Diceros bicornis minor: one gene and its partners. The protein of the gene in region 2 interacts with the protein of the main gene of each other region in a biochemical or structural test. Links are inferred from orthologs where the notes say so. Each region holds a gene or a part of one and is shown on either strand. Other genes may lie near its edges. The genes, in order: PDGFRB, NHERF1, TBC1D10A and ADRB2.

The links.
Region 1: the proteins of NHERF1 (region 2) and PDGFRB form a complex in vitro, tested with the Homo sapiens proteins (2 studies listed by BioGRID and IntAct, with this or other methods). The link is inferred for Diceros bicornis minor from reciprocal best matches to the Homo sapiens genes NHERF1 and PDGFRB.
Region 3: the proteins of NHERF1 (region 2) and TBC1D10A form a complex in vitro, tested with the Homo sapiens proteins (2 studies listed by BioGRID and IntAct). The link is inferred for Diceros bicornis minor from reciprocal best matches to the Homo sapiens genes NHERF1 and TBC1D10A.
Region 4: the proteins of NHERF1 (region 2) and ADRB2 form a complex in vitro, tested with the Homo sapiens proteins (3 studies listed by BioGRID and IntAct, with this or other methods). The link is inferred for Diceros bicornis minor from reciprocal best matches to the Homo sapiens genes NHERF1 and ADRB2.

The regions. Positions count from the first base shown.
Region 1 is NC_080740.1:67,175,197-67,182,660, reverse strand, and holds the start of PDGFRB (platelet-derived growth factor receptor beta), read left to right. Parts: upstream 1-4,454; 5' UTR 4,455-4,867; intron 4,868-7,464. UniProt on the Homo sapiens protein: Tyrosine-protein kinase that acts as a cell-surface receptor for homodimeric PDGFB and PDGFD and for heterodimers formed by PDGFA and PDGFB, and plays an essential role in the regulation of embryonic development, cell proliferation, survival, differentiation, chemotaxis and migration.
Region 2 is NC_080757.1:55,335,438-55,342,406, reverse strand, and holds the start of NHERF1 (Na(+)/H(+) exchange regulatory cofactor NHE-RF1), read right to left. Parts: upstream 3,017-6,969; 5' UTR 2,801-3,016; coding exon 2,384-2,800; intron 1-2,383. Other genes in the region: RAB37 (ras-related protein Rab-37), read right to left, coding at 5,600-5,705, 5,908-5,984, 6,062-6,118, 6,722-6,787. UniProt on the Homo sapiens protein: Scaffold protein that connects plasma membrane proteins with members of the ezrin/moesin/radixin family and thereby helps to link them to the actin cytoskeleton and to regulate their surface expression. Necessary for recycling of internalized ADRB2.
Region 3 is NC_080774.1:23,836,836-23,843,781, forward strand, and holds the start of TBC1D10A (TBC1 domain family member 10A), read right to left. Parts: upstream 3,001-6,946; 5' UTR 2,945-3,000; coding exon 2,736-2,944; intron 1-2,735.
Region 4 is NC_080740.1:66,047,429-66,054,995, forward strand, and holds the start of ADRB2 (beta-2 adrenergic receptor), read left to right. Parts: upstream 1-4,556; 5' UTR 4,557-4,782; coding exon 4,783-6,039; 3' UTR 6,040-7,567. UniProt on the Homo sapiens protein: Beta-adrenergic receptors mediate the catecholamine-induced activation of adenylate cyclase through the action of G proteins. The beta-2-adrenergic receptor binds epinephrine with an approximately 30-fold greater affinity than it does norepinephrine.

The DNA of each region.
Region 1 (7,464 bases), on a different chromosome or scaffold from region 2:
GTGGTTTCCTTGGTGTTTGCTTGTGAGCTGTATGAGGCCAGGGCACATAGTAGGTGCTTAGTTAACTTCTGTGTGGTGGCTACATGGTGGGAGGAGCAGGACAGCCTGGGAGTCAAAGTTAAAGGCCCCTTTCCAGACCTACTGTGTGCCCTCAAGCAGGTTCTGGCCTTCTCTGGGACCCACTGTGTCCAGTGAGGAGAAGATACGTGGCCTCTGGGGGCCCTGCTGTTCTGATGACCCTTGAGCCATCTGTGTGTACCAGAAGGACACACCCTTGTTCCCTGGGGCACTGAGACTGAGGCCAGCTGGAGGCTGGGGAGGGGCTGAGGCGGGCAGGGTCTTGAAGCCCTTATCTCCTGCGACCTTGTCAGGCCTTGGTGGCCTCGGTCTGGCCCAGTAAAAGCAGTCCTGCAATCTAGAGTGAGAATGTGGCCCGAAGCCCCCACTGGTCCCTCTGCCCAACCAGACAGCCACCATGCTGAATGTCCAGGAGGGGAAGGGGCAGTTCCCACTGCAGGCCCCTTCTGGCTCCCCAGATGCAGGCACAAGGTCCTACCTGCTCAGGGTGCGCAGAGTGGAAGGACACTGAGCTGGGGGTCAGGAGTCCTGCATTCCAGGCCCTTTCTCTCTCTGCTAACCTCTGACAGGTCTTCTCTGCTCTCTGAGCCTCAGTTTCTGTGCCTGTACAATGGACTCACTCCTAGGACTCATCTGGCCCTGACATCCAAGATGACTGTGCCGATGCCTGGGACGTGTGTGTTGCTTCGTCGCCCCAGGCCGGGCGGGGGGGAGGCGAGGCAGCGCTGGGAGCGTGGGAGAGCCAGATGTGGTAGCCGCTGGCCCTGCCTGAATGAGTGCTGAGCCAGCCTACTGGGAATTCTCCTACTCAGGCGCCCTTTCCGGACCCCCTCCCCCGCCCCACTGAGAGCTGTGGCTTCCGGCTCAGCTAGGCTCTGATGAGCTGAGCGTGGGTGGGGGTCTGTGGAGGGGGGCAGTTCAGCCTGGTTCCCTCCTCCAGGGAAGAACACGGGCCTAAGAGTCTGGACAAAGCCTCCGTTCCAGTCCTGGTCTTACATGTCACAAAGCCTGGTACAGTCACATTCCATCACAGGGCCTCAGTCATCTCAGCTGTAAAATGAGCTGTCGGAGGATCTTCCCTCCAGTCCTGATGGTGAACTTCTGTGACAGCAGCGCCCGGTGACACCTAAGAATCAGTCACCTTTCTTGGAGCTGTCTCGCTCTGCTCTAGTCCTTGTACAAAACACCTCCTGTGCATCACTTATTTGGGCCTCTCCAAACAACTCTGTGAAGGAGGCGGCTGTATCCCCATTTTACAGCTGAAAACACCGAGGCTCTTTGAGCTCGGATAATGTAATCTGTCCAGGGTCACACAGCTGGGAAGTGGCAGAGCTGGGTTGGAAGTGCTGACATCAAAGCTCAGACTCTTAATCCTTGAGCAGGCCACCACGCAGTGGGGAGGGGAAGTGCTGAACCCCACTGCCCAGAGCTGCTCTCTCCCTCTGCACCCCACCCCACTCTACCTCAGGCAGGACTCCCCATGCTCCACGCTCTGCCTGTCCAATCTCAGCCTAGCCTCCCCCAAGACAGGTGTGTCCGAGGCTGGCCTGGGCTCCCAGCATCTGGCCAGGTGGGAGACTGCTCACGGCTCATCCTGTCCACAGTGGGCTGGGGGCCATGCTGACCATGCCAGCCTGACGGGGCTGCACTGTCCACATGCACTGCCCACTGCCCACCCCTTCAGAGTGCACAGGGGAAACTGAGGTCCAGAGAAGGGAGAGCTCAGCCCAGGGGCACACAGTGACGGGTTGCAGCTGGTATGAGAGAAAATCACTATTTCAATAATAACACTTCCAGACACTGTACTAAGCCCTTTAAGTGCATTACAAATCACAACAGTCTTTCGAGTCATTCCTCAAATTATCTCCATTTTCCAGAAGAGGAAACTGAGGCTCAGGAGTTCAAGTGACTTGCCCAAGATCATGCAGCTTGAAACTGCAGAAGCTAGCATTTGAACCCAGCTCTGTCTCTGGCTCTGGAACCTGCCCTGTCAATCGTGACACTTCCGCCTCAACTGTCCAGCCCTCGGGGAGTGCCCTGTGGTGTCTCACGTGGCTCTGTGTCCCCCAACCCCATCTCAGCTGAGAAGAGCCTTAACAGCCCTGCTGCCTGCCAAGGGTTAATGGTGGTAGGGGCTAAGTGATTCCAGATGGGCCAGCCGGACGGCTGGGCTGGCCGGAAACTGGCGGCCGCCGGCTTCCCGGGGGAGCCACCGGCAGCCGCCCCCTCCCCTCTGTGCTGCATCTCTGGCCCCCAGCTGTCCCCTTGCCCTGGGGCCCACCAGCCTCCTCTCCCTAGCCAGAGTCCAACTCTAAGGAACTTGTAGACAGAGCATCCCGAGCGCCTTCCAGCTCAGTGAGTCCACCCCTGTTATGTACAGATGGGGAAACTGAGGCTCAGAGAGGACAAGATACCTATCCAAGACCAACCAACAAGTCCACAGCTGGGGTTCCTGACTCCCGGCCTAGCTTTCTTGGGGCTGCGGGTTGAGATGCCGCCTTGCTTCCCCTGAGTTGTCCTGGTCCCTGCAGTTGGGCCAAGGCTTTGGAGGTAAACGGCTGAGGCAAATGCTAGAAGGGGAGTTGTACAGACTGATGGAGTCTCTGGGCACAAGAAATCCCTGTGCAGGCCTGACCCTGTGGTCTCTGGAGTCCCCCTGTATTCCCCTCTGACCCAGCTGCCACCAAGCTGGGCCAGGCCCCCTCTCTTGGGAGGCTCTCACGGCCCCCACCCCATGGCCTGGAGCCAGTCTGAGAACCCTTCTCCCTCTGTGTGGCCCAGGCCAGATGCTCTGCTGGGCAGTCCCCACTGGGACAAGACCAAGAAATGACCACCAGATAGGTTCCTGTGGGTGGCATGAAATCCCAGCTCAAGCAAAGCCCCCGCCCCATGAACAGGAGCCCAGGGTGAGGCCTGGGAGAAGGGATAGACAGAGGTGCAGAGGGCAGGACAGAAGGAGCCCTGGACAGAGTCACGCTCTACCTGTGTGACCCGGGACACCTTTCTCCCCCTCTCTGGGACTCAATTTCCCCATGTGTGCAGTAGTGGGGGCAGGAGGTGACTGCCTAAGCCCTTTTAGTCAACTTCCTAAGCCCTTTTATAATGATGGCCTTCGCATCTAAGGGCCAGGAGATTGTGACTAGAGACAGCTTCTGATCTGAGGAAACGAGGGTAGAAGAAGCCAGGTCACGAGAGGCCCCGCCGACGTCCTGGAAGAGCCTTGCAGCCCCTAGTGGGGAGGAGGCCCGGAGGCTGGAAGTGGAACATAACAGGTACTCGAAAATATCTGTTGAGTGACTGAATGAGAAACGGGGACAGGGATAACCTAGGTAGAAGGTAGGACAGGAGTGCCAGTCTACACTGCAGTGTGGGTCAGGTCCCCGTGTCTGTTCCATCATGTAACTCGTGGGACCTGATTCTGCTCGAGTTCTGCCATTGCTGTGCGAGCTCATTTCACTCTGCTGGGCTTCACATTCCTCATCGATATATAAATGGGGAAGTAACCACAGCCCTACTCCAGGGCTTTGAGATGACAGAAAGGAATATGTCTGGAATCTGAAGTGTGCTGGGTGACCTTGGGCAAGTCTCTTTCCCTCTCTGCACCAAGTCACCCCTTGGCCTTGGTTTCTTCTTCTGAGAAGTGACCGATCATCTTGGAAGGTCTTTCCGTCTCTTCCAAGTCACCTCTTCTCAGGTGCCCTTTCTGATTCCCTCCAGCCTCAGTTAGGTGCCCCTCCAGATGCGCTCTGAGCCCCCCTGCCCTCCCTTGGGGTACCCAACTGTCCATTGTCTGTCTCTTTCACTAGCCTGGGCACCCCTGAGGTCAGGGACTGTGTCTTACTTACTACTGTGTCCCCATCACTCAGCGCAGTGTCTGGCACATCGTAGGCGATCGACATGCTTGTTCAATGAATGAGTGTTGACTGAATCAGCCGTATAGCTTATCAGAGCTCCCTTTGTAGATGGGGAAACTGAGGCACACAGAAAGGACTCGCCCCCAGGTGCCATGGCAAGGGGAGGCTGCCACCCGAGACAGGCATCAGGCGAGTGGGGCCGGGCCACTCTTTAATAAAAGTGACTCAGCGGCTGGCGTGGGCCGCGGAATTTCTAAACATCCCCTCACATCCTGAAGGAGCAGCGATGGGAGGGAGCAAGCAGAGGGAAAAGAGGAAGAAAAACAAGAAACTTGGGGAAAAGAAAGAGGGGGGAAAAAACTGAAATTGAAAACAGACGCACGCGTCCAACCTCCCCGCCCCACCGCCCCCCTTCTCCCAGCTGAGCCAATCAGAGGCCATCCTTCAGCCTTTCCCCCAAGGTGGGGGGGCAGGGAAGCCCACAGTGGTGTGAGCTCCTGGGGCTGCCAGCGGCCGCAGTCCCTGCCCGCCCCGTCTGGGACCCAGGATTGCTCTGTGAGCAACTTGGAGCCAGGGAGGAGGAGGAGGAGGACCAGGAGAGGGCCAGGCCCCTCTGACCAGCGCCCGGCAGCAGCCTTCGCCCTGCGACACAGACAGCCAGACCCAGGGCGGCCCCTCCTGGCAGCCCTGCTCCTCCCGAAGGATGCTTTGGGAGTGAGGCCACTCCTTACCCCTGTAGCCCCCCACTCCCTCCATTTTCCTGAGGCTCCGGGAGCCTGCAGCGGCCTTCCCTGCCCTCCTACCCAGCTGCGGCCCCCTTTCGGGTCCAGCAAAGTCTTTCTGATAAAGGGAGAGGGCCGTGAGGAGGACTTCCTGGAGGGGGTGACAGCCCAGAGCCCAGGACAGTGCCCATACCAGAAGGCATCAGCAGCAAGGTAAGTGCTGGGAGAGTGGGGAACCCCAACCCCTTGTCCTGTCCCCTGGCCCCAGCCTGCGCCTTCTTGAATAGGTCAAAAAATGGAAAATACTTTTAACAAAACCAGATGGGAGGAGGCCGGGAGGCTGCGGGCGACATCAGGGCTAGAGGAGCCAGTTCTTTCCTCTCTCTTGCTCAGGCTGCTTCTGGGGTGGGTGGCCCCGGCCTCCTCAACCTTGCTGCCCCCTGCCCTCACCAAACAAACCCCAGAGGTTTCCGGGTGTCGACTGGGGGCCTCCAAAGCACAGCACTGCCTGCGGGAGGTGGGGAGAGCTGGGAGGGGTATGAGAAGGGAATTGGGAGATGGCAAGCAGCGTACACAGAACGGGGACCTACCAAGGGACAGGACCTCAGAGGCATAGCCCCTGTCCATGGGCCCAAGTCTTGTCCCTAAGAATCTGTCTGGCTCTGGGCCAGTCGGCCGCCAGGCAACCTCTGGGGATTTAAAAGATTTGCAAATTTTCCAGATTCCTAAGATGTCCTTCAAACCCCCAGCGGCTGGGAAAGTGTGAAGGAGAGGGGGCCCTGGTGGTGGCAGGCCCATCCTAGCAGTTATGGTCATGCAGCCGGGGCTGGGGGTCTGGGGCCCGGCCATCAATCTGATGGCCCCTCTGTGGAGCAGCGGGGTCGGCTGCTGGCCCTTTCCTCTGGTCCCAGGCAGTGCTCAGGCCCCCTCTCTCTCTCCCTCCTGCCAGACACTGCCCCTTCTCCATCCTAAAACACGAATCTGATCACGATTCCTTCCGTGATTCTCCCCTGTAGAAAGCCCAAAGCCCTAACAGCGGCTGCCACTGATTGAGACTCACTGCCTGCCAGGGCTGCGCGGAGTGCTTTGTAAGCATGATCTCATGTAACGCTGGCCAGCAACTCCAGGGGCAGAGACTGATTTTACACACAAGGAAACTGAAGCTCACAGCGGCCACAAAACTGTAGCTAGTAAGTGGCAGAGCTCGGGGAGATAGTAAGCTCCGTGCCCCATCACTCCAAACTTGGGCCCTGTGTTCCTGCCAGTCAGATCCCAGGATTCCCAGAAGGAATTTGCAAGATCCTGCCTGTGGGCCTGCCCTTCCTCATCACTTCCACTTTTTCTTCAAGGACCCTCCCTTCTCCACCTCCTCCAGGCAGCTTCTCAGATGCTTCCAGTCTTCCAAGTGCTTGCTGTGCCCTTCGCACTGGAGCCTTGTTGCCTGGCCCTCTCTTCCTGTTTGTGTTCTGTTTTGCACATCGGAGATCATTCAGGACCCAGGCTTCCCCACCTGTATTCTGTCCCCAGTGTCCCTGGCAGGCAGTGGGGCTGAGAAAATGTGCTGTTGAAAGGGAGGAGGGACTCACTGAAGACCTCCTCTTCCCAGATGAGACCAGAGCCCAGGCCCCCTGTCTTCCCTCAGGTGCCCTTCCAGAACATCATGCAGCTCCTCCAGACTGCATTTTTCTCTGTCAGACAAGGAGGGGTGTCCCTGCCTGCCTCTGTGATTCCAAAGTGCACAGAGGCCTCTGCGAGCTCTTCTAAAGCCACAAGCAGGAGGGCCCTGAGTCCACAGCACTCGGGGACATGAGGACCATGCTGGTCACCGTCGTTGAGTGCTTACCCCATGCCAGGCTCAGGCCCTGTAATCCCCACAGCAGGTCTTTGGAATGGGTATTACTACCCCTGTTTGGCAGACAAGGAACCCGGGGCTGAGAGAGGCTAAGAGAATTTCCTAGGGTCACACAGTTAGTAGAGTTGGTGTTTAGGCCACGATCTGCCTGAATCCAAACACTTAACTCTCTCGCTACCCAGGGAGCTCCTGGTGAGAGGGGAGAGAGTCTCCATCCTCCCATGGAGCCTGCTCCTGGCTCCAGCACCTTCCATGGCGGAAAGTTCAGCTCCAGGCCTGACCTGCTCCCAGGTCCACCTGGGCCCTGGTTTGGTCCTGAGTGGGGAAGGAGACCATCTGGTCAGCACCCTCCCTTCAGCAGTGATCAGGCAGCGCTCCCTCCTCTGTGGGAAGAAGAGCTGCGACTTGTAATTGCCCACAGATGTGGGGCAGCGGAAAGCACCGTGGATTCAGAGTCAGGAGACCCGGCGCTCGCCCTGGCTCAGCTCAAATCCATGTGTGGCCAACCTCAGGCCCCCGTGTCCTCTTTTTGGGCTGCGTCTACATCTGGAAGGCAGTGGGCACCATGGGTAAACAACACCAGGTTTGGGCATCGGATGACCATGGATTTACCCCATTTGGCTTCTGGCTGACTGTGTGACTCTGGAGTTCAGTCCCCTCCTCTGTGAGCAGCAGGGCGGTATGTAGGCTCCAGGAGGTAACAGTATAGGTAAGGTACACAGTTCCTGCGCTTCACGGGGCTGGACCTAATGCCATTGGCTATGAGAGGGCTGCTGCTCTCCCCGCCTCCTGCACAGGACAACTTGGCTGTGAAATTAGTCTGCAACCCGCAGAGGGCTATCCCCATGGAAGGGACCTGGACAGCATGGGTATTCTAAAGGCCCACTTCCGTCCTCCAGGCACTGTCCGGCTCGGAGACCAGCTGCCTTCTGGGCAGAAGGAGGAGTCTCTGGGCATT
Region 2 (6,969 bases):
CCCATGTGTGCAGAGCTGGCAGTGCCCCTCCACATCCTCCCAGACCAGTACTACAGGTACCCTCACCCTCTGCCCTTATCATTCTCCACTGGGCTGTTCTTCCCAATGATATGTCACCGCCACCCATTCTCTGCATGCACTTTTCCACTTAACATCTTTTTCACTTATGAGAACTAATGAAGATACCATAACAGCCTCTACTTTGCATACAAATTCAGGCTAAAACTAACTAGTAAAACTCAAATGCTTTATACAAGAGATGTCTTTTAGGAAAAAAAAAATAACTCTTAGGATGTTTATTAACATTTTTTTGCAGTGATGGAGTGGGTCACCTGCATGACCACCATACCAGATTTAACTGGAATATCCTACTAGAGGGTCTTAACAGTGCTGATAGGCTTTGTATAAGGCCAAAGGAGTCCTTGCACAGAGCTGGGATTCCAGTGCTTGGGCATAAAGGAACTCAATTCAGCATCCACCAGGGGCTCGAGTACTTCTCATACTTGTAAAATTCTAGAGAAAGCAGGTACCACTGTAATCCAATGCTCCCATTTTACAGATGGAAGAACCAAGGCTCAGAGAAGTTCTGTGACTTGCTTGTTGACCATAAACCCAAGAGGCCTGGTGATGGTGTTCCCGGGACTGGCTGGAGGCGGTTCTGCTCCCTTCTCCTGGCCTAGCAAAGTACACACGAATGCAGGTGTCACACCACCATCTGGGGGGATCTGATTTTGTGCTCCAGGGGTGGAAGCACTGCTGCCTTTTCAAATGGTGTGGCGGGAGCTTGTGCGCTAGGTCAAACCTCCAGTCTGGCCTCTCCCCTAGCACCCCTCCCCACACACCCAGCAGCAAAACCAAAAGGGCAATGGGAGGAGTTGAACATAACTGCGACTTAGGGGGGGTGCGTTACTTGTGCGAGTGCCAAAGTCCAAATGAAAAAAAACAAACAGGGAATGGCAAATTGATGCACTCAGCACAAAGCTCAAACTGGACTTCTGCCTGGGACGAGAGGTCATAGGTTCTAACTCCCTGGTGTCAAACCCCTGCCAGGGGTGCTCCGACCCCTCCCCCATCCTTGCCAATGCCAGCCTGGCAGCGGCAGGAAGTGGGAGCCGGGCAGCCCTGTCATTGCCGGCACCCATCTCTGGCTGGACAAGGCTCCTGGTGACCTCACTTCACCAAACCAATTGGTCCTCTCAGGCTCCACCTTCTACCTTAAGGTTGAACTGTGCCCTTTCTCTGTCCAGGGAGGCTCCTGCTGGCACTAAGGACACCCCTGCCACATGCTGCCACCAGGTGGAGAGCTGGTGCAAGCCAAACCCGCCTGGGGAGGCCTCCCCCCTCCACTCTCTGGGAACAGGAGGCTCAGCACAGCTCCTGTTTGCCACTGCCCCTCGGGCAGCTGATCCAAACTGGGATCGTTTGTGCAAACACCAAACATGGGCAAAAAGCAACCAGCCTGCTTGCCGTCCAGGGACTGGAGTGAGACAGATGATGCCAGGACAGGACCACCTGCCCATGGTGAGCCCCGCTGGCCGCTGGAGGGTAGAGTACCACGGGACCACTCCCACCTCTCCCTCTCCCCAGCCATTTCTTTTCCTCCAAGGTCCTCCCTCCGCTCCCAGATACAAGGTAGCGCTTACTCCTCACATTCCTGAGAATCATAAATCCTCCTGGGTGGTGGAGCCGCCACCACTCCAAGGCCTCTGCACCTCTTCTCCGCACCCCAGCCCCCAACACGCTGCCCTGAGACGGTGGGGCTTCCTCTTCTTTCCTAGAAGTCACCCGACCGACTTCAGGAGGAGGATGAAGTCCAGCCGGCCTGAAGTTAATGATATACACACCAGCGGGCTGGGGGGAAGGGAGAACCCTGTCTGCGATCCCTCCCCTCCCAGCGCCGGGGCTCCGCACAGAAAAGGCGGTTGTTATTCCTCTAGCTCTTTGAAGTCGGAGCCGCGCTCGCTTCACTCCAGCTTCCGTTACCACCCACAGGGGCCGTGGAGGAAGCTGGCACCTCTGGGGCGGTGAGGGCGAGATTGCGTGGTTCCGAGGAACGGGAGCAGACCCCACCAACAGAACCCAGAAAAGGGGACCGGGCTCCCTCACCTCCCTACCAAAGACCAAGGGTCAAGAGGTGTAGGTGGTAAAGGCGCTCAGGGTCCCAGCCCTGTCTGGGAAGGGGAGTGGGGGTCGCGGGACGCAGCCCCAAGCCTGCAACCGCCAGTGCGCCCAGTCGGCGGGCGGAAGCAGTCCCTCCCTCGAGGATCGGGTTTCAGAAAGACAAGGCGGGAGCAGGGTTGGGAGTCCCGGGCGCCTGGGTCTCTCCCCGATCCCCCCTCCAACTTCGTTCCAGCCTCGCCGCTCGGCCCGGGCCCGCACTTACCCGCTCCGGCGGGCTCTTCTCGGCCTCGCGCGGCGCCTCCGCGGCGGCCGGCGGCTCAGCCTGCCCGGGCCCTTCCTGGGCGCGCAGCAGCTCCTCCCGGACCTGGACGCCCAGCTGCTGCAGCCGTTCGTCCGTCTCAGGGTCGACCACCAGCAGGCGCACGGCATTGAGCGCGGCGCGGATACGGCTCACCACCTGCTGGTGGGTCTCCTTCTCCACGTTCTCGCCGTTTACCTCCACCAGCCGGTCTCCGGCCAGGAGCCCCGCCTTCTCGGCCGGCGAGCCGGGCTCCACCAGCCGGATGAACTGGCCCATCTTGCCCTTCTCCCCGTGCAGGTGGAAGCCGTAGCCGTTCGGACCCTTCTCCAGGCAGCAGAGCCGGGGCAGGGGCGGCCCGGCCGCCGCGTCCGCGCTCATCTCGCCGTGGGACGACTCAGCAGCGCGCCGCGGGGTCGGGTCGGGGTCCGGAGATGGGACGGTCCAGCCCTTCTCCCCGCCCTGCGGACCAGGGGGCGGGAGAGAGCGCGGCAGAGAATTCCCGCACCGCCGGACAGGCCGAGCGAGCAGGTGTCCCAAGAGAGGCTGCCACGAGCAGCAAGGAGCCAAGCCAGGAGCGCGCGGACCAATCCCCGCCCCGCGCGGCGTCTGAGCGTTCTAGAACCCGCCCAGGTCCCTTACCCCGGAGGCGGGGCCGCGCTGAGGGTGTGGGCCACCGCGGGCCAATCAGAGACCAAGAACAGGGGGCGCTCGGGCCGGGTGAAGGACGCCGGCCAATGGGAACGCGCAGGGGCGGGGCCGTGCGCTCGGCGCGGTGCCCCGCGGCGGGAGAAGAAAGAGGGCTCAGGAAGTGGAAGTGTTTGTTTCCAAGTGGCCGGAGTTGAGGCGGGGGGCGGGGCGAGTTCCCGGTACCGGGCGGAGGGGCCCGCAGGCTCTGTTCTGGTTTCCCCCACCTGTGGCGGGGATTGAGGAGAGCCAACCCTCGAGTAAAGGACGCTAACGTTTTAACAGCCTTTAGCCAAAACCTTGTGTGCAGCTCCAATTGAGGGGGGGAGGGGGCGACTGTTGCCGGGGAAACCGCTCCCGCTCCGGGGCTGCGAGGTCCCAGCGGTGTGAGGAGTAAGACGGAGGTCCACTTCGGACCCAGCAGAGTTGTCTGAATAACGATATTTTCCCATTTGCGGAGTCACTTTGCACTGTCCCAGGACCTGCTTATAGGAGTGCGGGCTCTGATCCTGGTTGGGACAGTGCGAGGGTCTCAGCAGAGAGCCCAGGCTTTGCGCGGCTGCCCACCGAAAAAGGCCACCTAGGTAGGGCAATGGCGTGGGCATTGGCGTCAGCGTTCGGCTAGGGAGGTGGGGTGGAGAGAGGCAGAACAGAGTCAGGTAATCATCTCTGGGTATAGTCTCCAGGGCAAGGAGACCTGGCTTTTTTCAATAGAGAAAGAATGATTAGGACCGTAAGATAAACCTTTCAGTTCCTTCTTGCAGATGAGAGGCTGGTCACAGAGGCTGAGGGGTGGTCTGTAAAGGATGAGGTGACCAGTTGGGGACATTGAAGGATGAGGATCAAGTGATTTTGGCTGTCAATGACAGTTCCCCCAGCATGCAATAACAATCCTTTCAACATGACTCCCGCCCCATGGGCACCTCAAAGAAGCAGGGGACAGTGTGTACTTTCCAAAATACTGCAGTTTAATTCTGGAAAACACAAATGCTGGAGGCCCAGTACAGCCTACATGATTGGATCGCCTGTGACCTGCCTTGGGCCCCAGAAGAGCCGGCAAGGTCAGGCTCCTCCCTGCTCTGCTCGGGAGAGCTTCCTTATCTGGCCCAAGTTGGAGCTGCTGACTCTGCTCAGAGAGCAAGATTTCTGCCGTGGAAGCAAGTGCAGTAGCCTCAGAAATGTGCAGTGCATGCCTCTTTCTATCCCTCTCCCCCGCCCCTGACTTGGAGAGCTGGAGCAAAGGTGTCTCTCCCCACCCATGGCCCAGAGAGCTGGAGTAAGGTGCTTTAGGTCATGACCTTCATGTACCCTGGCCCTTCTGATTGCTGGGGTAAGGGCTTTGGGAGAGTTGTGACCTTCGCTCCCGTAACTCCTTGCCGCCCCTTCCCTACCCCAGTCTTACCCACATGACCTTATTTTGCACACATTGCATTGGTTTACCAGAATTGGATGACCTCTCACTCTCTAACCTGGCTTAGTAGAAAGGGAGATAGAGCAGTTTTGAGTCTGCGTCTGTCTGGGAAAAAATGGGCGTGGGTGTCAGGGAGGAGGCAGCGCTTGGGTTTAGGGGCATACATGTAGGGCAAGGTTTACTCAATTCTGCCTCCCACCTGCTCCAGGTGGTTTCTCTTTATCTGGTTTTTTCCCAGTAGAAGCACTACAGCTGCTTGAAGTAGCCTGGGGGCTGCATACCTGCTAAAGGGTTGGGACAGAAGAACCACCTTTCCCTAGCTGGGACCTTAGGTGTGTAGGGGCACAGCCAGAAAGGTAGATAAGACCAGGGATTCATGGAGGAGGGGCTTCCCTGGGATCTGAGGTCTGGGGAACAGGAACCAAATGTTTCCAGGTGCCCCAGTGTGCTTGTGGGCTGGAGGGAAAGGGTACACCTCCTGGAGGGGCGTTAGTAGGGCCAGAGGTAGCCAAACAGACCTAATCTCTGCTACTCCTCTCTCCCCCTCCCAGGGAGCAGAGTCCCTGCCCAATCTCCATATCTCCTATCTTCCCTGAGGTTTTGGTCTAGCTCCCAGCACAAGGGCCCTGTCTTAGTGGGGAAGATTGTTCCCTGGGAAGCTGGAGGACATGAAGCCTCTCTCCAGCTGAAGTGAGAGTGGGAAGGGGGTCACTGAAGTGCATCAGTGTCCCCTGGTGCTGAGCTGAGCAATACTGCCCTCATTGTGGCTAGGAGGTAGGCCCCGACCCCTCAGTCCTAGCACTAGAAGGCAAAAGGGCCACCAGGTCCTTACCTGGGCTTTCTGGTGCCTTTTTTTGTATTAAATTGTGTATCATTAAAATGAAATATAAATATTTTACCCTCCCTGGAGATGCAGGGAAGTCCAGGAAGTAGGTAGTACAGCTCCCTCTTGGGAAGGAAGGCCTGTGCACTGGGTCCCCCAGTTCTCTCCCCACTGGCTTAGCTGCTCAGAGTAAGCCAGGTCTGGGGGAGAAGGCTGCATCCTCGTGGGCCTCTGGAGCCTCCTCTCAGCCCCTTGGGAGTCACAAGAAGGAGCAGCAGCCAGGCCGCTTCTTCTGGGACTCCACATAGTCTCGGATCTGGAAGCTGGGTTCATCGGCCTGCTGCCTGGCTCTGTGTTTCAGCTCCCTGGAAGAAGAAGAAACAACGGGCTGGGTACGGACTGAGGAGCTGAGCATCCTCCCCACTCCTATGGCCCGGGGCAAATGGACCTCAGACTGCAGAAGGCAGTTGGGCCCAGGGGCTGGCGGGGGAGGGGGGCCAGGCCATACTGGATTCCCAGATGGTGCCACCCTGCCCCGCACGGTTCCCTTCCCTGCTCAGCTCTCACTTGGCAATGGCCAGAAAGGCTAACTCCACATTCATGCCTGTCTTGGCACTGGTCTCCATGAAGGGAACTCCATACTCCTGCCAGAGAGAGAGTGTCTTCAGGGCTAGCCTGTGGCTGCCCCCACCCCTCACCCTGCCCACAGGCAGTCACTTACCCTGGCCAGCGTCTCTCCGTCCTCCGAACGGATCACTCGTTCATTGTTCACATCCGCCTGTCAAGCCCAGGTGGGTCACTCTGGGGAAGGAAGCCTTGACCCCAGCTGGCCCTGCCCCTGCCTGGCCTATTCTTTGCCCCAGGAGCAGGCACTACCCGCCCTCTGCTGGTGGCCTGCAGGACTGCAGGTGGCACGATGGGCATGGGGCCAGGGTTTCTGGGTTGGTCAGGCTGAGTTACCAGCTCCCAGCCCTGGGATCTCACTCCTCCTGGGGGAGGTGGGTAACTCTCCTTGGTACGGGTGTGGTGAGCCAGCCTCAAAGGGGTGGCAGTAGTTGGGGCTAACCCTTTCCAGTCTTAGCTCCTCATCCGTGACCCTCATCACGACCATCTAATAAGGGCTGAGCAGCTGGGCAACCGTGGGTCTCTCAGGTACTAGCTTGAGCTTTCCCTGCAGGGGACCGTTTCCAAAGCTTTAAGAGGGCAGGTGACATGGGCTGAAGCTGCCAAATAGGTCTGACTCCTGAACTAGAGACTGAAAGAGTCCTTTGCTGGAAGAATGTCCAGCTAACACTCTTGGGTGGCTATGGGGCTGGTAGAGCTAATGCTGTGGCAGTGGGAGAGGAGAGGGGTGGGCTGACCCTGCCGTGGAGCCACTCACCTTGTTGCCTAGCAGCATGATCACCACATCCCTCTGGGCATACTCATGGATCTCAGTGAGCCAGGCCTGTGGGAGAGGGTGGGCTGAGCCAGGCTGAGGCTGAGCACCAGCCATTCTCCCCTTCCCTCTGGCCCTTCCTTCTTCTATTTGATTATCCTGCTCACTGACCCCAAACACGATGCCCTGTGCATTGTCTCATCTGCATCTTTGTTCTGGCCTCTCCAGTCCTGAGTGGCCCCAAACCCCAT
Region 3 (6,946 bases), on a different chromosome or scaffold from region 2:
TAGCCCTCAACCACGAGACTGGGTTCAGGACGGTCACCCTGAAACTTCCCATAACTTCCTCTCTTATAGCCTTGAGCAGGGACTTACTTGTGGCTTTTTTGGAACCACAATGTAAACTAAGCAGGGAACATTCAAGCTTTCAGACACCAGAGATTTTAGGTTGACCAACGGAGTCAACAAAGTAAGGCAGGGAGAGATCCCACCTCAGCCCCAGCCCTACAGACACCAGTGATGCAGAGGGCGTCTACAAAGCCCGGGTTTGCAGTTGAAGACAGATGTCTGGCTGCCTGGTTGGGGACTACAGCCAAAGGGAGGTGCTCCCACTGAGGCCTCTCTCTGTCCACAAATACCAGACGTATGCCCTCATTTTTCTCCTCAATTCTCAGACCCTTAGAAGGAAAAGAAAGGAAACTAATAATATTTTCTGTGCCACTACTTGTGCCAGGCACTGTGCTAGGCACCTCTGCATACCTGATCTCATTTAATCCCCATAGTAATCTTGGAAGTAGAGTTACTGTTGTGCTTTACAGTGAGTAAATAGGCTCAGAGATTCAGGATCTTGCCCAAGGTCTCACAGCCAGCAAGTGTGATTTCTTCCTAAATCTGGTCTTTTTCCACTATATCACACTACTCTATTCACCGAGTTCTGGTTAACTGCCTGAGAAGCATGTAGTATGAATTCTCATCTCCTAGAACTCACCAGCAAATCTGAGCTCTTCCTTCCAAGAACCCATAAATGCAACTGGGAACTTTTTTTTTTTTTTTTGGTGAGGAGATCAGCCCTGTGCTAACATCTGCCAATCCTCCTCTTTTTTTGCTGAGGAAGACTGGCCCCGGGCTAACATCCGTGCCCATCCTCCTCCACTTTATATGGGACACCGCCACAGCATAGCTTGCTAAGCAGTGCGTCAGTGTACGCCTGGGATCCGAACCAGCGAACCCCAGGCCACCGCAGCAGAGCACGCACACTTAACGGCTTGTGCCACCAGGCCGGCCCCAACAACTGGGAACTTTTTCCCTCTTCTCAAGACCCGTTCCTTCCCAGGGCCCTGATCCCTGGTGACTGCTCCTCAACTCAAAAATATACCCTAAGTCCTCTTTGGGTTCTCACAAGCTAATACCTGGCGAACTGTGACAAAGCATCAAGTCAGGGTGAGGGATCAGAATATGGGGTACTCTCCAGAGTCCTGGACTGGACTAGGCTTAGCCTGCGCCTGCTGTGAGCAAGTGGGGAGACGCTGGAGGAGACAGATCCAGTGGGTAGGACAGAACTCTTCTTGGGGGGGGCCTACATTTCTCTAAAGGAGAAGGAGGCCTGGAGAATATGAGGCTTTGGGACTGGGGAAAATCCCGGAAGTGACCTTTATGGGGCTGACTTTTGTGTGGGGTGGGGTTTTTACAGATGGTCAAGGCACTTCCATAAGTCATAAGAGAGGCTGGAGGAGCCTTGGGCAGTCACAACAGGTCAGAGAAGGGGAGGAAGGACCCTCTGAAGTAGGGTCATGGCTGAGTCCTGCGGGCCCCCACAAGCTATAGTGTGGGGCTGTCTCTGTTGAAGGGGAGGCACATCATGAGGGAGGCTTGTGAGTTCTGTGCAGAACACTGGTCTCATGTGACAGGACAGCTGGGATGGGAGTGGGGTTTGGAGTCTATCTTTCTTCAGGGGACTGCCAGCCCCTACACACGACCTCTGTGAGGATTGGGCTCAGGGGGTTCTGTGGGGCAGCATGGCTGCCCAGTTTACCCAGCTTGGAGGGGAGGTGCTGCTCTCCCGCCTCACATTTCTCTGCCCGCCAGCTGGGTGCCTGGGGACTCTAGGGGTGGGGGATCTCGGTGAGCTATGAGCAGGGACCCTACTGTCTCCCTGCCTGCCCCCTAGTCTGTATTTCAAGAGGAAGGGCTTGTTTCCACAGCATACATGGAGACAGCCAAGAGTCTGGCCTGTGAGTGAGGCACTGTCACCCCGTGGGTACTCGGAAGGGGGAGTGTCTGCCCACCTGTTGCCACTGACAGGGAGAAATCTGCTTCTGAGGGGAGGAGGGGAGCACTCTCCGACCCTTCCTTGAGGGGAAGGGGCTGTCCGTCCCGGGGTGGGGGTGGCTGTCAGTCCATCCAGAGGTCTGTGTGCCTTGAGGTAAGGGCTGTGAGTCCTGGAGTGGGGTGGGGGCAGGGCAGTCTATCTCTTGAAGTCTGCCTAAGGTGTCCCCCCGCGTGGGGGTAGTGAGACAAGGGGTCTGTGGGTCTTGTGGGGAGGTGGCGGATGGAGGATGTCGGTCTGTGGGGGAGGGGCAGCCATCTGTGAGCCTGTGGGGGGGGGGCAAAGTCAATCAGCCTGAAGGCCGCGGTGGCAGCAGGAGGGTTGGGACAGGTGTCTGCCGTTCTGTCCCGTAGTTGGGAGGAGGACACTGGAGGCCCTTCCTGGGGGCAGGTCAGACTGCCTGGGGGTGGGGGGCAAGGGGAAGATACCCCACCCTCCCGTCTGTCCGTCCCTGCCTGTCTGTGCCCAGGTCGGAAGTAGGCTCGCGGGTGAGGGGCGGGTCGGTCTGCCTGGGCGGAGCGGGAGGGGGAGGGGGAGGGGGGAGGGGGGAGGGGGGAGGGGGGGGAGGGGGTGGGTGGGGCCGGGGAGAGAAGGAGTCGGCCGTCCCCGGTTGGGAGGGGGGCTCTGTCCGCGTCGAGGCACCCCCGCGGGTCCCGCGCCCGGCCTAGCCCCCGGCCCGAGCCCCTGCGCCACTCACGCGCCCTCGGCGCCCTGAGAGCCCACGATGAAGCCGAACTTGTCGATGCGGCGCTCTGCGAAGCCGTTGGCCTCTGAGTCGGAGCCGAGAGAGCTGAGCTCGTCGGCGGCTGCGGTGTCGGGGCCCGGGGCCAGGTTCTCCCGGGTCCCCGACAGGCTCCCCCCGGCCGTGGGCGCGCGCGGCCCGTTCTCTCCGCGGCTCTTCGCCATCCCGGCCGCGCCCGCCGCCTCAGCCTCAGCGGCCACCTCAGCCACCTCAGCCTCCTCAGCCGCCCCGCCGCCGCCGACGCCGCCGGCGCCCCGCCCACGCGCCGCGCCCATTGGCCGCCGCCAGGCCGGGGGCGGGGCCCTAGGCCCTCCCCGGGAGCGCTCCCCCCACGCCCAATAGGCGCCGCGGACCCCAGGGCCCGCCCCCCCCCCCCCCCCCCCGCGGCTGGCGCCAACCGGCCCGACGTGAGGGGGCGGGGCACCCGTCACCCAGAACCCTCCTCCGCGGGCTGCCAATGACACGAGCTCACCTGAATGAGCTCTTTGGGCCTTTCCGGGTCGGCCCCAGCCTGGCCTGTCACCTGCCTCGCAGTGCAGGCAGAGGCCGAGGGCCTCAGCTGGGGATTCCGCATCCGCCTCCTAAGGCCTCCCTCCTCGCGAGACCCCAGGGACGTGGGTGGGGATTGTTTCACCCATTCATTTTTGAAGGACTCTGAGGACTGCCCCAGGGACACTCAGCTGCTTAAAGACCCAGGCTGAGCTAGAAGTTCCGCAGCCTCCTCCGCCTGCTCACTACTTCTGGGGCTTTAAATTAGCTTACGGGAACCTAATTAATAAGAATGACCAACAGCTCATGAAGCCACTCACTGCCCCAAGTTCTGCGTACTTTCTCTTGTAATCTTTTTTTCCAACAGCTTTATTGAGATATAATTAACATACCATAAAAATCACCCGTTTAAAGTGTATAATTCAATGGTTTTAAGCATATTTATAGAGTTGTGCAACCATCACCACAATCTAATTTTAGAACATTTTCATGGCCCCAAAAAGAAATTCCTATCCATTAGCAGTCACTCCGCATCCTTCCTCCCCTAGTCCCTGGCAACAACTAATCTGCTTTTTTGTCTCTATAGATTTGCCTTTTCTGGACATTTCATATAAACGGAATCATACAATATGTGGCCTTTCACTTAGCATAATGTTTTCAAGGTTCATCCATGTTGTAGCATGTTATCAGTACTGTACTTCATCCCTCTTTATGGCTGAATAATATTCCACTGTGGATATACCACGTTTTGTTTATCCATTCTTCAGTGATCGTCATTTGGGTTATTTCCACTTTGGGGCCATCATGAATAAAGCTGCTATGAACATTTGGGTACAAGCTTTTGTGTGGACATATATTTCCGTTTCTCTTGGGTAAATACTTAGAAGTGGGAATTGCTGAGTTATATGGTAACTCTGTTTAACTTTCCAGGAACTGGCAAGCTGTTTTCAAAATTGGTCACACTGTCTCCTGTAATCTTTGAGCAACAGGGTAGATACTATTATTAGTCCCATTTTACACTTAAGGAAACTGAGATGCAGGGAAATAAAGTCAGCTGCCTAAGGTCCCAGAACTAGCTTGTGGCAGAGCCATGATTTGAACCTAGCTCTTAGCAACAGCTTATATTGGGAGGCATGGACCAATTGTATTTATACACACTTAGCTCCCAGCAGCCTACTTCTGACCCCAGGGATTGTCAACTTTCGGAGCCATAATGATAGCTCCTCAATTAAGTCCAGTACTTTATAGTTTACAAGTCACAATCATGCTGTCATCTGACACTCCTCTATAGACCTCTGGGGGAGATAGGCCCAGAGCAGGGAAGGGACTGGAAGAGCCAGGCTTGAGCTACAGGGCTTGGGGCAGACCGCTAAGGGGCCCGAGGCAAGCCCCAAGAGGGGAAGTCTTATGCCTTGAGTGATTTCACCAGCCGTTTCCTTGATGCCACGTGGCCCAGACATTCTTGAAGACTTCACTGTGCAGTCTTCACATTCCATAGGCTTCTGGTTTTCCATAAAGAGGCCAATAGCAGACATGGGAGTGGGCACAGGCTATTTTGGTCTTAAACTCTCAGTCTGAGAGGACGCTTCTCCATTCCTCCCCTCCAGTGGCTCCAGACAGAGTGGTGGGCTCTTAGTCCCAGCTCTCAGGAGGGGCAGAGCGGGCCTCGCATGGGAGTGTGGGCCTATCCCACAGAAGGAAGAGAGAGGAGCCAGACACACCTGGAGCAGATGTGAAGCCCCAAGCCTGGCGAAGTATCAATAACCCTTTGACTCTATAATTCTGGTCCTAGGGTCACATCCCAAACACATTCAGCTCTGTAAAGGCACATGAACAGTGATGTTCACCCCAGGACTAGGCGTGAGGAGTAGGTTAGAGGCAGCCAAGTGTCCATCTTTGGGAGACGGGATAGATGTTTCTCAAGTTTAGGCCTTGATGCCCCAGCTTCTAATTTTCTTACATAAGACCACCCAGGATTCAAATCTCTGCTCGTCACTGTATGACCTTGAGCAAATCACTTTTCTGAGTCCATTTCCTCATCTGCAAAATGGAAATACTTAAAAAATGCCTCCTTGGAAGAGTTGTTCTGAAACTTGAATGTGATAATATGTGCTAAGCATTTGGCACATGGAGATACCCAGTAAATGGAAGCCAGGAGTGGTAGTACTTGTAGTTTGCAAAGCACTCGCAAATTCATTATTGTCTTGTATTTCCCTTCACAGCCTGTGGCTGCAGCAGGGGAGTTTACCTAATTTAACCAATGGCACATGGCTTGGGAGACTTTGCTTCATGGCTGTGCCCCTCAATAACTGGATGTTCTGTGCAAAACTGCTTCACCTCTCAGAATCTGTCTCCTGTTCTGAAGAATAGGAATATCAACAATTACTTGGTGAAGAGTCAGTGAGCTATGTTGCTGAAGCCTCCACCACATAGTGGACAATAAATGTTATGTTTCTTCAAACTCCAGAGCTTTGTTTTTGTTTTTTTGGGTGAGGAAGATTAGCCCTGAGCTAACATCTGTTGCCAATCCTCCTCTTTTTGCTGAGGAAGATTGGCCCTGGGCTAACATCTATGTCCATCTTCCTCTACTTTTTTATATGTGGGACGCCTGCCACAGCATGGCTTGATTAGTGGTGTGTAGGTCCACGTCCGGGATATGAACCTGCGAACCCCAGGCCGCCAAAGGGGAGCGCCTGAACTTAACCACTATGCCACCAGGCCAGCCCTGGGGCTCTTTAATAACTTATTTGATATTACTCTAGTGGACAAGATAGATGAAGTCCTGGCCCAATAGTTTATATTCCAGTGGAGGAGGAAGGACATGAACAAGCTCAGAACATTTGTCAGGTAGTGTGAAAATGAAAATGAAGCAGAGTAAGGTAGAGGGAATGCTGTGGGTGGGGGGAATAGATGGAAATGAGGAACCCTCTCTGTGGGGATCCGGGAGAACAGTGACGGCATGGCAAGGCAGGGCATGCAGGTGCAAAGCCCTTGAAAGAGAAGCAGGCTCAGAAGATGGTGTGGTTAGACTGGAGTGAGAAAGCAGGAGGAGGAGTGAATGAATGAATGATCCAAAGGAATGCCCTGCAGAATCACGTGGTTCGCTGGAGTACAAAATAAGAGACCTTTGGCAACACTGTGAAACATCCTGGTAGACTGGCTGCTGTAGATGTTCTTTTGAGGATGAGATGCTAGGCCAGGGTTACAGGAAGGTGTTGATGACCTGTAGTCTCATCCTACTGGGGTCAGTCCTGCAACTTTAGCCCGAGGCACTCACACAGGTCCCCGTGCAGTCCCCTCTCCTGGATCCTGGAAATGTGCAGCTTGCATGTGCTCAGGAAATCTGTCAGTACTGGCCACAAGCAGATGTCCAGATGTCACAGCCTTTATTCGTAATGAGAGCAGAGCTGAGTTTCAGAAGGTAGACAGCTAATGCCCAGCAGCCTACGAAGAACAGGCAAACTATAAATCTTCTTTATCCCTACACTGAGGATAACAGTTAAGAATCTTTTGGTCCAAGTGGCAGAGAACACAACTCAAATAGGCTTAACCCAAAACTGCATTCAGTGGGTCCCATAACTAAAAAAATCCATAGGTAAATAAGCTTCAGGAGCAGTTTGATCCAGAGATTGTCACCAGGGGTATCAGCCTCATTTTCCTTTTTCCTCCTTTTCTCT
Region 4 (7,567 bases), on a different chromosome or scaffold from region 2:
TGTTTGATGACTTGTTGTAGGATTTTTCTAGGAATTGATGTGAAGTCTAGACATCAGCAAACCCAGGTATGAATAGAAGATACCTGCCACGATGCTAAAGGAGACTCTAGACCTAAGGGAATGAGGAATATTTAACCTGAAGAAGAGAAGGCTCAGGAGAACTTGAAGGGATTCTCCCAAAAGCTTAAGGACAGTCTTGGGGAAGAGGAGCTTTGCTTTGAGTGGCCTCAAGGGGGCAGACTTAAGATGCTTGGGTAGACACTTTAAGAACATGGATTTCAGTTCAATATCTGGATAGTTGGAGAAATATACACTGAAAAATGGAGCTGGCGAGCTTGCCTTCACTAAACATGGCTGTATAAGAGTTTTGGTGGCTGCATTGTGTAAGGAGCTGACTAGACTGTGAGATGTTTCATTCAGAACCACTAATATCCCATGCAGGAACATAACTCAATGATAATGGTAATATTCAGAATCATTCTTCTTTCTAAAGAACCAAGTTTTATTCCTTTTTTTCCTGTCAATTCAAATTAAAAATAAATTACTCATCATCCATGTTCAAAGTGTCCTTTCATACATGTGATCTAAGATAAATATGCATTCTACATATACATTTTGATTCAAAAATAAGATAACAAAAGTAATAGCTAACTTTAGGGGCCGGCCCGGTGGCGCAAGTGGTTAAGTGCGCGCGCTCCGCTGCGGCGGCCCGGGGTTCGCTGGTTCGGATCCCGGGCGCGCACCGACGCACTGCTTGGTAAGCCATGCTGTGGCGGCGTCCCATATAAAGTGGAGGAAGATAGGCACCGATGTTAGCCCAGGGCCGTCTTCCTCAGCAAAAAAAGAGGAGGATTGGCGGATGTTAGCTCAGGGCTGATCTCCTCACAAATAAAAAAAAAAAAAAAAAAAAAAAAGTAATAGCTAACTTTTCTCCAAGATAGCCTGTTAAGCACTTTACGTGCAATTAATCTTATTTAATGTTAATTTAACGAGATGATGCTGTACAGAGATAATATTAAAGACAGACATTTAAGACCATCATTTAGAAAGAAATCTACGGATGTTTCTCTGCTCAGAGGGTCATAAAGATGAAAGGAATCTTGTCTAAGCCAAGACCAGGATAAGATTTTCCTAAGCCACACAGCTACTGGTGCGAAGGCATCTCGTGGCACCACAGAGCCCTTAGTCCTATTCAAACATTGGTTCAGTAAATCAAAATGTGTTTTTTTTCCTGCTTGGCAGGCAGGAAACAACGAATCAGTGTCTTAACAGATTGACAAAATACGTAATTAGACACTATCAATCACCATAAAAGAGCCTGCTTTTTCTTACATCAGATAAAGGTGCATTTAGTCTACTAAGGACTTTCCAGTTTCATGAAGCATGAACTCCCTAAGGCCACAAATACAGTAAGCAGTGCTAGTCAAAGTCCTCTGCTAGGGAAAGAAACGAAAGAGTGGGCAGTGAAAACACGTGAGCCCAGGAGCAGACTTGGCTCCTAATTTTCCCTGCCCTCCTTGGACTGGATACTCGCTTCTACCCTTTAGTTTCCTCATTTGCAAACCGGAGGGAGAGGAATAAACTGAACGATCTACTATACTCTTTCCCGTTCTAGTTCTCTCTAATCCTATAGTTCTAAAAGGAGGTCAGGAGAAGACTCCTGGCGTGAAGACAGCATCTTGAAATTCCTACCAGCTTCATGATGCAGCAGAGATAGAGAGAGCTTGTCCATTTGGCAAGGCTGGTGAGCAGAGGCCTAGAACTTCCTCATTGACATAAGCAGTCTTCCCTTCTTGATTTAGTGTTTGTGTGTTTCTTAAAAGGTGTTTCCCCAAATATTAAAAGTTAAACTTTTGGGGCCGGCCAGGTGGCTCAAGCGGTTAGGTGTGTGCGCTCCGCTGCGGCCCGCGGTTTGCCGGTTCGGATCCCGGGCGCACACCGAGGCACCGCTTGTAGAGCCACGCTGTGGTGACGTCCCATATAAAGTAGAGGAAGATGGGTACGGATATTAGCTCAGGGCAAATCTTCCTCAGCAAAAAGAGGAGATTGGCATCAGATGTTAGCTCAGTGCTGATCTTCCTCACAAAAAAAAAAAAAAAGTTAAACTTTTAAGTGACTTACGTGCATACCTAAATGATCAATTAGTGTTTGTCCTAAAAGCATTTTCGTTCTTTTTCTTGTTATGGGAAGGTTAAACAATATGCTTGTTTATCCCATAGCTTCACAAACAGGAAGGAGGTTTTAAATGGCTCAGTTCCACGATTTGGGGTAGATGTATATTTAAAGAAACGTGTTGCATAACAGACACTCCTTCCTCCTAAAATGCATCATACCAGAGCCAATTTTGGAAAACACAAATATGGGGTAGTTATATTTTGAAAACTATGTGAACATAATAGAACCTTAATTAATATTTGTGGCTTTCTATGGGAAATATTTGTTTTGTAAGGCATCTGCCTTGCGAAAACAGTTTCTGCTAGTGAAGGAAGTTAAAAGGTGCATGTACGGTTAAATTTTGTTTCTGAGTTTTACTTCTAGAGTAACTGCCCAAGTTACTTCTGTCCTTTATTGTCCTGGTAGAGAAGACTAACAGCATATTCTAAACTACTAAGTAATTTACATAAAGTTCATTTATAACCCATATTTATGTCTCATTTATATGTGCCAAAGCACTTCTACATTTATTATTATATCATTTGATTCTCACTCAGCCTAATGGAAATGACTTTATTCCCCCTTTAGAGATGAATGAAATTAGGCCCCATCTTTGTCATTTGCCTAAGGAAAGTGAGCTAGAAAGTTCCGAGACAGGGGGATCTGCATCCTGGGTACTCCAATTCCAGTTGGAGTTCTTCCCAGTCCTCCATTCCTTTTTGTATATGATGATGCGGTACACTGAACAAATGAAAAGATGGGTTTTAGAGTCAGGTAGATCTGGGTTCACCTCCTGCCTCTGACCCTGTGCCCCTAGGCAAGATTTTTCCTCTTTGAGCTCCATTTGTGAATTAGGCTAAAAATAGTATCCCCTCTACCATGGGACAGTGGGAAGGATTAAATGGAACAATGCAGGAAGAGCACACAGCAGAATGTTCCATAAATGTTAACCATTGTTATGTTATTATGCAATCTACAAAGTATGTTTGGTTACACCACACGAATTACTTTCAGTTTTTCAAAGACACTACTAATACATGTGAAATCAAACCCTGAAAATTAATTTCTTTTTAACAGTGAAGTCATATGCCAGATGCCAAGGATAGTATTTCACCGGCAAAGATCCTAGTTTTAAGGCTTGGTCTGACTTTTGTTTTTTAAGGAGAAATTATCTTTTGCTTTCTGTGGTTTCCAAACAGTCGTAATGGCAACACATTCTTCATAGTCTGAGCCATATGAAAGTGACATTTTTTAAGTCAGAAACTGCCGATATGGCTCAACCAACAGATCAACAAACTACCCAGCAGATGAAAGGATTTTCCTACTTACAATGGGATTGCTGAAGTTGAGGTTGAAAGGAAAATTCTTCCATTTTCAATACATTTTCATTCCAACAGATAATGAGGGAATGATGCCACACTCACAAGAATTAAAAATTAAAGCATACAACTTTCTTTCTCTCGTCCAAAACACATACATGCACACCCAGCTCCAAATGAAATCCAAAGTGTGAAATTGTATGTCTCAATGCTTGCAAATTCCCAAGGAGGGCACCAAAAGTGCTTGATAGAGAGTGTGCTGAGGAAATCGGCAGCTGTTGAAGTCACCTCCTGTGGTCTTGCCAAATGTTTGAAAGGGTATATGCTGTGTGTCCGTATGTGTGGTGGAAGGGGGTGGGGAGGAGGTCGGGGGTGCAGGGGTGAGGGGTTTGGAGTACCTGGATGGGGACGTCCGTGTCGGTGGCGCTGTGCATGCCTCCAGAAGGAGCGTTTGTGTGTTGTTTACTTCTTTTTGTGTGTGAGCCCATGCCTTTGTGCTTCTGGGTGCCCCTGTGCTTGTTTCTGGCCGCGTATCTGTGTTGACAGGGGTGACTGTCGGTTTCTGTGCGCCCGCGCTCGTGTGCTCGTCGGTGCGCTGGACGGGTGTGTCTCAGCGTCGGTGGCTGTGGCTCCGTATAAGTCTGAGCATGTCTGTCGGGGTGCGTGTGTGCCTGTCCGTGCATGTCTCAGTGGGCACTCTGGTCTCTGTTTCCGAATGCGGGGGAGTGCCCGCGTGCTGCCCTCTGCTCTCAGACCTCGGGCCGCACAGGCCCCCACTGCAGACAGGTAGCAGCCACAGAAGAGCCAAAAGCTCTCGGGTTGGCTCGTAAGCGGGCCAGTTCGAGCTTCAGCCCTCCGGGACCAGCCAGGGTAGCCGGGAGGGAGTGGTGGCCCGCCCGTCCGCTGGGGAGCAGCCGAGCCCCGCCCGGGCCAGCGCCAGGAGTGGGTGGGAGAGGGAGGGGAGGGAAGGGGCGGAGGCCTCGCCCCTTTGGGGCTGCCGGCGCGCCATTGGCGGAAAGTTCCCGCACGTCACGGGGAGGGCAGCTCCCCTAAAGCCCTGTGCACATAACGGGCAGCGCACACTCCTAGGCGGCTTCTCCAGAGCGCAGGCTGAGACTGACAGGCACCGCGAGCCCAGAGCACCCCACAAGCTGAGTGCAGGACGCGCCGCAACCACACCCACCCCACGGCCGCTGAATGAGGCTTCTGGGCGTCAGCTCGCTGCCGGCAGCGCCCCGCCGGAGGTCCGCCCGCTGAGGCGCGGCCGGTGCGCTGGCAGCCAGTGCGCTCACCTGCCAGCCTGCGCGCCATGGGGCAACTCGGGAACGGCAGCGTCTTCTTGTTGACGCCCAACGGAAGCCACGCGCCGGACCAAGATGTCACGCAGGAACGGGACGAGGCGTGGCTGGTGGGCATGGCCATCGTCATGTCCCTTATCGTCCTGGCCATCGTGTTTGGAAACGTGCTGGTTATCACAGCCATCGCCAAGTTCGAGCGTCTGCAGACGGTCACCAACTACTTCATCATTTCCCTGGCCTGTGCTGACCTGGTCATGGGCCTGGCGGTGGTGCCTTTTGGGGCCAGCCATATCCTCATGAAAATGTGGACTTTTGGCAACTTCTGGTGCGAGTTTTGGACTTCCATTGATGTCTTGTGCGTCACGGCCAGCATTGAGACCCTGTGCGTGATCGCAGTGGATCGCTACGTTGCCATCACCTCACCCTTCAAGTACCAGAGCCTGCTGACCAAGAATAAGGCCCGAGTGGTCGTTTTGATGGTGTGGATTGTGTCAGGCCTTACCTCCTTCTTACCCATCCAGATGCACTGGTACCGGGCCACCCACAAGGAAGCCATCAACTGCTATGCCAAGGAGACTTGCTGTGACTTCTTCACGAACCAAGCCTATGCCATTGCCTCCTCCATCGTGTCCTTCTACTTGCCCCTGGTGGTCATGGTCTTTGTCTACTCCAGGGTCTTCCAGGTGGCCAAAAGACAGCTCCAGAAGATCGACAAATCTGAGGGCCGCTTCCATGCCCAAAACCTCAGCCAAGTGGAACAGGATGGGCGGAGCGGGCATGGACTTCGAAGGACCTCCAAGTTCTGCTTAAAGGAACACAAAGCACTCAAAACTTTAGGCATCATCATGGGCACTTTCACCCTGTGCTGGCTGCCCTTCTTCATCGTGAACATCGTGCATGTGATCCAGGATAACCTCATCCCTAAGGAAATTTACATCCTCCTAAACTGGGTGGGCTATGTCAACTCCGCCTTCAATCCCCTGATCTACTGCCGGAGCCCGGATTTCAGGATTGCCTTCCAGGAGCTTCTGTGCCTGCGCAGGTCTTCTGTGAAGGCCTATGGGAATGGCTACTCCAGCAACAGTGACGGCAGAAGTGACTATGCAGGGGAACAGAGTGGAGATCAGCTGGGTCAGGAGAGAGACAGCGAACTGCTGTTTGAGGACAACCCAGGCACAGAAGACTTTGTGAACCGTCAAGGTACTGTGGCTAACGATAGCGTTGATTCACAAGGGATGAATTGTAGTACCAATGACTCAGTGCTGTAATGCGGTTTTTCTACCTTTTAAGACCCCCCCTAACAAAACACTAAGCAGACTATTTAACTTGAGTGTAATAAATTTAGAATAAAGTTGTATAGAGATGTGCAGGAGGAAGGACATCCTTCTGCCTTTTTTTTTATTTTTTTAAGCTGTAAAAAAGAGAAAACATATTTGAGTGAGTATTTGTTTCTTGTACAGTTCAGTTCCTCTTTGCATGGAACTTGTAAGTTTATGTCTGAAGGGCTTCAGTCCCAGAGAACCTGGGGCTGCTATGTTGTGATGACTTTTCTGCATATCTACCTCATTGGTCAAGTATTAGGCGTAATATATTGCTGCTGGTAATTTGTATCTGAAGGAGTCTTTCCTTCCTGCACCCTTGGACTGGAGGATCTTGAGTATCTCGGACCTTTCAGCTGTGAACAAGGACTCTCCCCGCTCCTCTGATTTGCTCAAACAGGGTGTCATAGGCAGGGATTTGAGGGGCAGCTTCACTTGTTTTCCGGAGCAAAGTCTAAAGTTTACGGTAAATAAATTGTTTGACCATGACTTCATTGCACCTGTTTCTCCAAAACCCCTTGACTGGAGTGTGGTTCCTCCCCCACTGGAAACCGCAGGTAACTATTTGTAATAACTGCCCAGTGACTTAATATGGAATAACACAGGAATGACAAGCACTGATTGCTTAACCCTTTCATTTGCCTTTGAATCTGCAAACCTGTATCTCTCCTAACGCTAGGGCCCCAAATCAGTTCTGCCTGCCCCCAGCATAGCTTGTCTCACTTGTCCTACGGTTATTATTCTGTGTTGTCACATCAGAAACACTGACTCATAGAAATGGAGTTATGGACATCTGTTTTGTCCCTCCATGAACCCCACCACCCACCTTCCAGCTCTACTTGTTGGATAGCTGCTTATATTTATGTCTTTGCCATGTCTTAGAGTGGAGATCTTTGTACTACCTCAGGCTTTGGCATTTTAAGGATAAGGAAGAAGTTATTGTGAAAAAGCTACTCAAACAGAGCCCTGTAATTCCAAGGGAGAGTGAAAGGGCATTGGTCATACAGCGAAAGCTGGAAAATACTTAACTGAGGAATATCTCATGACCTAGAAACAGCATTATAAGCCCTCCTCCTTCTTTCCTTCTGTCCATTTCTTCCCTCTCCTTTTGACACTCCTCACTTCAGTATAAACCAATTTCTCAACCTTGGCACTATTAACATTTGGACCAGGTGATTCTCTGTGATGGGGGCTGTTTTGTGCATTGTCTGATGTTCAGCAGCATCCCTGGCCTCTACCCATTAGATGCCAGTAGCACCCTCTGAGTTGTGCCGACCAAAAATGTCTCCAGACATTACATTACCAAACACCTCTTGAGGGGTGAAATTGCCCCTGGTTGAGAACCACAGATATAAAGTTCAAAAATCTAAACAGATTTTTAGATCCTGTCTCATGTGACCATTTTATTTTGCAGAGCCTAAGAGAGGGATTTTTCAGGGTTCCTCTGGTTAGTGACAGATCCTGGGCCAATGCTCTC